Linked DNA regions of Nothobranchius furzeri. Each later gene encodes a partner of the first gene's protein in a complex. Links are inferred from orthologs where the notes say so. Each region holds a gene or a part of one and is shown in the gene's direction. Other genes may lie near its edges. The genes, in order: camlg and get1.

What was found.
Region 2: camlg (region 1) and get1 share a complex: the UniProt entries of both Homo sapiens proteins name them as parts of the golgi to ER traffic (GET) complex. The link is inferred for Nothobranchius furzeri from reciprocal best matches to the Homo sapiens genes CAMLG and GET1.

What each region holds. Positions count from the first base shown.
Region 1 is NC_091750.1:60,367,789-60,372,330, forward strand, and holds the start of camlg (guided entry of tail-anchored proteins factor CAMLG), read left to right. Parts: upstream 1-1,428; 5' UTR 1,429-1,971; coding exon 1,972-2,125; intron 2,126-4,125; coding exon 4,126-4,542. UniProt on the Homo sapiens protein: Required for the post-translational delivery of tail-anchored (TA) proteins to the endoplasmic reticulum.
Region 2 is NC_091753.1:27,509,940-27,514,547, forward strand, and holds the start of get1 (guided entry of tail-anchored proteins factor 1), read left to right. Parts: upstream 1-1,723; 5' UTR 1,724-1,738; coding exon 1,739-1,758; intron 1,759-2,135; coding exon of another isoform or gene 2,136-2,150; exon of another isoform or gene 2,151-2,356; intron 2,357-4,608. Other genes in the region: hmgn1a (non-histone chromosomal protein HMG-14A), read right to left, coding at 378-446, 532-648, 728-766, 862-891, 1,178-1,207, 2,136-2,150. UniProt on the Homo sapiens protein: Required for the post-translational delivery of tail-anchored (TA) proteins to the endoplasmic reticulum (ER).

The sequences.
Region 1 (4,542 bases):
GTTTTGTCTGTGATTGATTTGAATCAGTGTTTATTCTCATAGAACAATTCTGTCAGACTAGCTATTGTTCAGGTGAAAGAACAGGTAAAATGGATGTTTTTGTTCAAAAAACACGTCTAACCTAAACCAGGTCAAACTTCTGCATGTTTGCGAGTGCAAGACTTGGTTTATGAGGACAGTTGGCGCTCAAAGACTTCTTTTTTGAGTGGGCTGTCACCTGGAGATATTTTTTGTACACACCTGGGCTCCAATGCTGATAAAATCCCAGAAGTATGTTTTTTTTTCTTTTTAGTTATAAAGTCGTTATAATGTTTGTTGAGCAAATGCGTAGACTCCTGATGTGGAAAGCAGATGGACCTTGCCGTCTTTGCTGCCTGGAATGTGTAGACTTGGCAGTGAAAGGTTGTCTCATTGGTCTGTCCTCCCGTTGGTCTGTCATCTTTTCTCTCTCTCTCTCTGATGACATCACTTTTCTGTGTTTTTTTCCTCTTGTTTAATTTATGAGACTCCCAAACTGATTAAATGCTATAATTGCCTTCTATGGGAACTCACTTTTTATTAATAATCCTCTGTTTAAATACTGAAATATTTTAATATAATAGGATATGGGAAATTCTTTAACACAGTCATAACAAAGCCATTTTGATCTTGTATCCATGCTTATTGATATTTGTATATTGAAAGACACTGCATTATATAAAGGAGAAGAAATGCTAATTTTAGTGTAAACAGATTGAAATTATGCTAAGAAAATAAACTGTTTGGGACTTTTTAAATGTAGTTTGTGTTTTGGTTGGTGAACCATGTTTATTCTGTGAAGATGGATTCATTTTGGACCAATTAATCAATGTTCATAAGAGTTTGAATTAAGGTTTTCAGTTTGGGCTGATTTCATTCAGTTTGTAATCTATGTATCATAGAAGAAGAATGTATTTAGAAACGGAATTGTTTTGGTCTTTATGCACAAAGTTGTTTTTCATAAAAATGAAAATAAAGCTAGCTTTGTTTTTTTTTTTTTTTGTAGATTAAGTTTTCAACATGACATGGATTATAGTGAATGAAAGCTGAAGGCTTCTGAAGAAACCTTAAATTCAACATTAATGACAAAATTATAAAGTAATTATATAAATATAGGAATAAAAGATTCAACCATTTACCATGCATGACAATCAGAAAATATCTTTAAAAAATGTAGCCAGACATGTTCATAAAGATTTGTGCATTATTTTGGTCCCTGTGATATCACTAAAATATATTTAAATGGATAAAAGGAAAACATTCTTATCGAGGGATCACTGAAAATCACATGAAACTCAGGGGTTTGAGCAGTAATCCGAAGGTTGCAGGTTCAATTCCGACTCCGGACAGAGAATTCTTCTATTGATTTCTTGGGCAAGACATTTAACACGCCATACCTGTGCTGATGGTGATCCTTGGGACCGGTGGCACCAGTCCTCGGAAGTCTTGCCACTTTCAGTGTGCCCCAGGGTAGTTGAGGCTACACTATAGCTCATCACGACGTGTGTGTGTAAGAGAGAGAGAATGGATGAATTATACACTAGTGAAGAGCTTTGGAGTCATCTGAGCATGAAAGGTGCCATGCAAGTGCGGGACATTTATTTGAAACATTAACGGTTTCAGTGGAAATGTATAGGACTTATTAAAAACAAATTTTCAGCAAATATACAGTAGTTTAACAGATTGCTACTTAAATATAAAATGACATGTGTTTTTTTTTCCACCTGCAAGGCGGTGTTCAGGGATGAAAATCCCAATAAACCATCTCGTCATTCTTTGCGCAGAATTGTTACGTCATCGGCGTGCGACCTCTTTTCGGTCCATTCTGTTATGTTTACCGTCTGATTCAGCTCGTGTAGACTTTTGTTTCGCCGTTAACGAGCAGTTGACTCGCCAGTTTCGTGTTCTGTAGTTTCACATTGGAGTCGGAGTTAATTTGAGTCATTTATCAACATGGAGGCCAGCGAGGAGAAGACAGAGAAACCCAGCTCCGGCGTGTCTGCGGCGCAGCGGAGAGCTGAGCTTCGAAGAAGAAAACTGCTCATGAATTCAGAGGACAGGATGAACAGAATCGTGGGTTTCGCTAAAAACGACTCTGACAACAGCGGTAATATAGTCATCGTTCGTTTAGGCTAGCACTACTGGACATATATGTCCCTGTGTGAAACATGTAACCGAGCACTGGTTTATTTAGTTTGGAGGTAAAATGGATGACACTGAAATCAATCAAAAATAGTCTTGATTTTAAATGTGTTGATTCAAGACAAAAGGTGCCTTTGCTACTTTTGAAGCTAAAATTTTCTCAAAAATGTATTATGTATATTTCATAAAGGTACTGATTCTCACCACTCAGTAGTCTCGCCCTGACTGGTGAATTAGTTAATTCTATTAAGACACAAATTCATCATCACACTCCGCACATGTCTGGCTGATCATTCTGACCCATCATCTTATTCTTGTGTTTAACAGTTTTCAAATGATCCTTTAATACAATAGAAGACAACGTTATTGTCCCCATTAGTAAATCACGAATATGTTTACACACACACACACACACACACACACACACACACACAGCTTGAATAATCCAACACAGGCCTTATTTATCTAGAAAACAAATCAAGTACGATGCAAACCCTGAAAAATTCAGTACATCAAGCCGTCTTCTAACACAATTCAAGGACAAAATAATCCAGACCAACATCAAAGGCACCACAGGTAAAGGTCAGTGGCAATGATTCAACTTTTAGAAAGAGATGGGGCAAAAATATGCATACGATTTTCAAAAAAATAACGACAGCTGACCAAAGGGCTGCACAGGAATGAGGCAATAAAAAAGGTAAAGTGCGATGCAAAGGTAAAAACAGAGCAATAAGCACCATTAGAAAAAGTCATAGACAAAGTAAAATATATAAAAACACAGTAAAAAAAATAGCATTTGTTGGGTGGTTCCAAGGATCTGGATAACTTGCAGTAATAAAATGAACTATGAATTCTGCTCTGACCTGTAATCTCAATCCATTCATGCAGTAAAACCCTCCAATGTGGCATAATTAAATCAATTCTGCAATCAATAGTGGGATAAAATCCTTTTCACAGTGATGTGAGATACTCATTAGCAGTTATGATTATTGGTCGGAGGGACCGGTGGCGCCTGTGCTCGGCAGCCTCGCCTCTGTCAGTGAGCCCCAGGGCAGCTGTGGCTACATCGTAGCTCATCACCATCACTGTGTGAAAGTGTGTGTGAATGGATGAATGATACACTGTAGTGTAAAGCGCTTTGGAGTCCTTACTCTGAGAGGCGCTATACAAGTGCGGATCATTTATCATTTATCATTATGGCAAATGCTTTCTGCCAACAGCAGCCATTTAGGTTTGCGTATGCGTATCCCTTTTCACTTAAGATGAAACCGTAATCATTACTATTTAACTATTTTGTATTTATTCAGGATATCTTTGCTCCAAAACTGAAATTGAAATTTTTGAAGAAAAATAAATGTATAAACATACTAAATCTGTAAGGGAATCATTTTTCAAAGCACTGTAAATAACTGATCATTATATGATTGATTGGGCTGAATTAACACCTCAGCAATGATTTATAAATGATCAGGTGTTGCATCTTTTGCCTTTTTAGTGGTAAATGTTTGACCCTGGTCATACATTCTTCTTATAAGTCAGTTTCTTAAATTAGATTTTGTGCGTATGTTGAGTCCATAACGTTTATTAGTGACATGTGTCCAGACATCACCAATTGATTTGTAAGTGTTGCAACAGTAACAGCATAGGCGTCAGCAGCACAGATGTTGATGCTGTGCCTTCCTGTCATCTTTAATCAGACACAACGTCTAAATGCAAACTGCCAGGAAGCATTTTCTTGGGCTGTTCTTGATGTTTTATGAGCTCTGACATCACTCTGAATGTGATGCCAACAAATGTTTCATCATGGAAGTGACACAGGACCTGTTTAGAAAGTCTGATCCCACTCAGAGGGATTTGTGAGAATTAAGTTAGAACCAAATCTGTAAACAACAATAACATTATTTGTATCCATTTATCTGTGTGCTTGATTCATTTCTAGTTCATAAACGCTGATCTTCTCTGCAGGATCCTCCCGACGACCCACAGAACCCCGCTTTCACCTTGATCTGGACAGGACACAGCCGTGGTCTTCGTCCTCCCCTTCCCCGAGACCGCCTCCCTTCCTGCCAGAGGCTTCGATTCATGGCAGCCGCTCCCACTCTTCCACCCCAGAGAGACGAGGCTCACCCCTGCCAGACAGCAGCGAGTTGCCCGGAGCATCTCTGGAAGACGAAATGGGAGGTCTCAGGCAGCGAGCAAAGCTGGAGCGAGGAGATGATCTCAGTGGCTCCCCACGTCGGAGCCTCCAACAGTATTTATCACGCTTTGACGATGCTATGAAACTCCGGAGTCAGCTGGCCAACGATAAGCAGGCTCAAGATGGAGGTTCTGACTCGGAGGAGCTGGATCCGTTCAGAATCTTTAGACTTATTGGCAGCGTCC
Region 2 (4,608 bases), on another chromosome or scaffold:
ATTCTCAAACCACACAGCTATCCGAGATGACAAGATAAACAATTACTAACTCTTAAGAAGCACTTAGCTTAAAGCACGGCTGAAATCATAGCTGAACTCTGATTCTTCTCAAGTAAAAGAAAACAACCAAACACATCCACTTCCTGTGAAAGTAGAGCGAACCCCCAACAGTCCCGGTGAAGACAAAATCCTCAAAGACAAGGTGTGAAAAGAACAAAAACACAATTATGGAAACTCTCCCTTTACAAAAGCTTTATACTTTTAATTGATATTGTCATAAAAAATTAAAAAGCAATCTCACCCCTAAAAACAATGCGTCTTTAGAAAATAGTAGCTAAAATACTCTCTGCATTTTACAACAAAAAGAGGTAAGCCAGCTATTCTGCTGCTTTCGCCTCCTCCTCAGCGGTGTCCTCCTTGTCGTCAGCTTCATCTACTCCTGCAGCCTGTGGGAAGACGAAGGAAACACCACTGGTTTGTTTTCTCCACCAGAGAGCAATGCTGACCAGAGAAGAGCCAAACCCATCATACCTCCTCATCTTTAGTTTCTCCGTTTTCTGCAGGACTTTCTTTCTCTGGCTGTGCTTCCTCCTTCTTCTCCTCTGCTTTGGCCTTTACCTCCTTCACCTTCTTGGTCTTCGGAGGTGCCTACAATGAACATCAAACCGCAGCATGAACTGGACAATCTAACCACACCGTAACTTGCTGCACCGACACGACCTTTCACCTTTTTCTTTTCTGGCTCTGGTTTTGTTGGCGTCTCTTTCTGCAGAACACAAAATACAAATAAAATAATAGAGATGCGTTGTAATACCAAATTAAACACATATTCATGAAGTAGTCCAGGTCTGTGAAGCTTACCTCTGACAACCGTTGGGATTTTCGCCTTGGCTGAAGGAAACACAAAGAATTTGGAATTAAACAAATGTACAGCTTCTAGTTAAACAAACATGATACCGTTTTGTCGAGCGGTTGTGAAAATTGCATTTGTTTTGCAAGTTAGGAAAATTAAAACAAGGGTACAACTCAAGTTATTCCATGCACTTAAAAAAATTCTTTACATCATTTAAAAATAAAAATCTGTGTTGGAAGTCTGCAAGATGTACAACTTTGTCCTCCCCTCTAGGTGAGGATGATCAAAATTATGTTGTGTATGTACACTTTGTGATTTACTTACCTCTGTACCTGCATCTGCATCAGAGGTTGCCTGCAAAAATCAGGAAGAAAAAAAATTAACAAGGCTTGAACAACAACCACTCATAAGTGTGCTAAAGTGGGTGTGTGATGCAAAGAGGGGGATGGGTGACTTCCCCTCCCATTTAGTCACTGAAATATTATGTAATCTGTAGGACTCCTGGCCAGGGAGTGTTTCTGATGGCCTAAAAGACTTAATCTGGACCCTAGAGATTGATGAAAGTACATCAAAACAGCACATATGTGTTTATTCATAAAAAAACTACAGCAAGCCCATAAACCAAAGCACGCTCAACATCAATTCGATGATGAAAGTTGCATTTTGCCAATAAACCTTAAACCTGAAGGCGCAGCCTACATGGTTTATGTCTAAAACAACCAGATGTGTCGCTGTGTTCTGCAAACGCGAAGATCAACACGCAAATACATGCGTGACGTGCACCATCAAACCGGTGTTTTAAAAGCTCCACAACGCGGTGTTTGAGGATATCAAACACTTTCTAAATTCTACAGTCAGGAAGAGCTCCAATCACCTGCGGCGTTCATGGGCGAAATTCCTGGGAGGTAAAACCCGTTCCTAATGCTGGTTACACCCCTTTAGTTTAATATCACAGCACGCATTTAGGACAATTAATGAACTTCAACACGTAGACGGTGTAAAAACAAGGAAGGTGAAGTAAAAACACACGATGCGACATGTTGGAATGCTGGCCTGCGCGGAGTAAAAAAGGCGCCACTTCACTTCCCTGCATCAACACGTCAACCCTGAACGCACCATGGACTCATTCCATACACACACGTCCGCATTCAAACTAACACGTTCTCCACAAATAAACAGCGACAAATACAGATAATTACAACACAAAAATGCCTGTAACTGCATGTTACAAACTCTTTATATTACACATACTTATTTACACATTACACACGTTTTAACTTACCTTTTTCCTTCCCATTGTGATCTAGTTTATGCGGCGGAGCCAATAGGGAAAACTGCTGATAATTTTAGCAAATCTATAGAAGAAAAGGACCAGCCGAGCCGCACACCAGAGCCTGTTACAGAGGAGTGTGTATGTGTAACATGACTTTAGGTCCAGCCAGTACCAGAACTAGCTCAAACCGGATTGGACACCTCTATTTGGTATAATTCATCCCTTTATCCTACCAACCCACCAGGAAGTGTGAAGCTCCGCCCATAGCTTTCTGTGATTGGCTTTGAGGTCACGGCAGCATAATTTTGAAAAATAACATCTTACCTGTGTGGGCAGGACGAGATGTCAATCAGTCAAATCTCAACGTTCAACTATGGAACGTTCGTGCAGAAAGGGTGTGTTGATCAGGAATTTGGCCGGATTGTGGAGTCATTTTTTTTTCATATAACAGAGGGGTCTGCAATCTGCGGCTCCAGGGCCACATGTGACTCTTTTGTTCCCTCTGCTGTGGCTTTGGCATATCTGATGAAAAATGACTTGCAAATACTTATTTATATTTACATAACTACAGGAAAACCATAGTATAAAGGGTATTCTTTGCTGTTTATTCTTCCTGTTGTGTGCAACCACATCAAAGCTATGTTGTTGGAGGTGCAAACACACGGGTCAAAAGATGTGAACCACATGTGATGTCAACAAGCTACATATCTAGCTTTATTGGTGGAATTTGGGAAGACCTTAATTCTTTGGCTATTAAGATTAACTGTCACAAATGTTCTCTGAATATTTCTTCAGTTTATTAAGAAAGTCAGTTTATTGCCTTCTGTCTAATGATGTTTGGAGATGGACAACAGCCACCGGTGACACCCAGTGAGGATGAAGCTGTTTGGATAACTGATGGACAGATGGAAGGGTGGATGGATGGATGGATGGATGGATGAACACACACACACACACACACACACACACACACACACACACACACACACACACACACACACACACACACACACACACTTCTTTATGTCTAGTTGATCAAATGTTTCTCTTAATAACGACTCATCTGTTTGGTTTGTGCCACATATAGCATCAGATTTCATCCTGTGTTGACCAATTTAATCAAAGCTGTGAAGACTGGAACTATAAATCTCACTAATCATAATTTGTTTTTAATCTTAATTAAAGCTAGATATGTAGATTGTTGACATCACGTGTGGTTCACATCTTTTGACCCGTGTGTTTGCACCTCCAACAACATAGCTTTGATGTGGTTGCACACAACAGGAAGAATAAACAGCAAAGAATACCCTTTATACTGTGGTTTTCCTGTAGTTATATAAGACTCCGCCAAGGCTGCACTTTGTCACTGATTCTGTTCATTACCTTTATGGACAGGATTTCTAGGTGCAGCCAAGGTGTTGAGAGCATCCGTCTTGGTGGCCTGAGGATCAGGTCTCTGCTTTTTGCAGATGATGTGGTCCTGTTGGCTTCATCAGAACGTGATCTTCAGCTTTCGCTGGAGCGATTCACAGCCAAGCGTGAAGCAGCTGGGGTGAGAATCAGCTTCTCTAAATCTGAGACCATGGTCTTGATTCGGAAAAGGGTAGAATGCCTTCTCCTTGCTCAGGGATGAGGTCCTGCCCCAAGTGGAGGAGTTTAAGTATCTCGGGGTCTTGTTCACGAGTGAGGGAAAGCTGGAGCGCAAGATTGATAGGTGGATTGGTGCTGCATCTGCTGTGATGCGGGCGTTATACCGGTCTGTCATGGTGAAGAGAGAGCTGAGGCAGAAGGCGAAGCTTTACCGGTCGATCTACGTTCCTACCCTCACCTATGGTTACAAGCTTTGGGTATTAACCGAAAGAACGAGATTGCAGATACAAGCGACTGAAATTAGTTTTCTCAGCAGACTGGCTGGGCTCTCCCTTAGAGTTAGGGTGAGAAGCTCAGTCATCTGGGAGGGGCTCGGAGTAGATTCGCTGCTCCTCCACATCAAGAGGAGCCAGTTGAGGTGGCTCGGGCATCTGGTCAGGATGCCTCCTGGACGCCTCCCTGGTGATGTTTTCTGGGCACGTCCAACTGGGAGGAGGCCTAAAGGGAGACCCAGGACACGCTGGAGGGACTTTGTCTCTCAGCTGGCCAGGGAACACCTTGGGATTCCCCCGGAAGAGCTGGCCCAAGTGGCTGGGGAGAGGAAAATCTGGGCCTCTCGACTTAAGCTGCTGCCCCCGCGACCCGACTCCAGATAAGCGGAAGAAAATGGAAGACTGGATGGATCTTAATTAAGAAAAAACTTATTGACATAAATAGTATAAATAACACACAAATAGTAATGGGCTAATTTTGATTATGTGCTACAATGGCCTTACCTAAGGTCAAAAGGACTTGTGGAATTTTATCATTTAAAATCCTTCAATGTCTGATCTGAAAAATAATAAAGGAAAATGGGAAAAATGTAGTTGCCCTTTTAGAAAAAACATTTCAA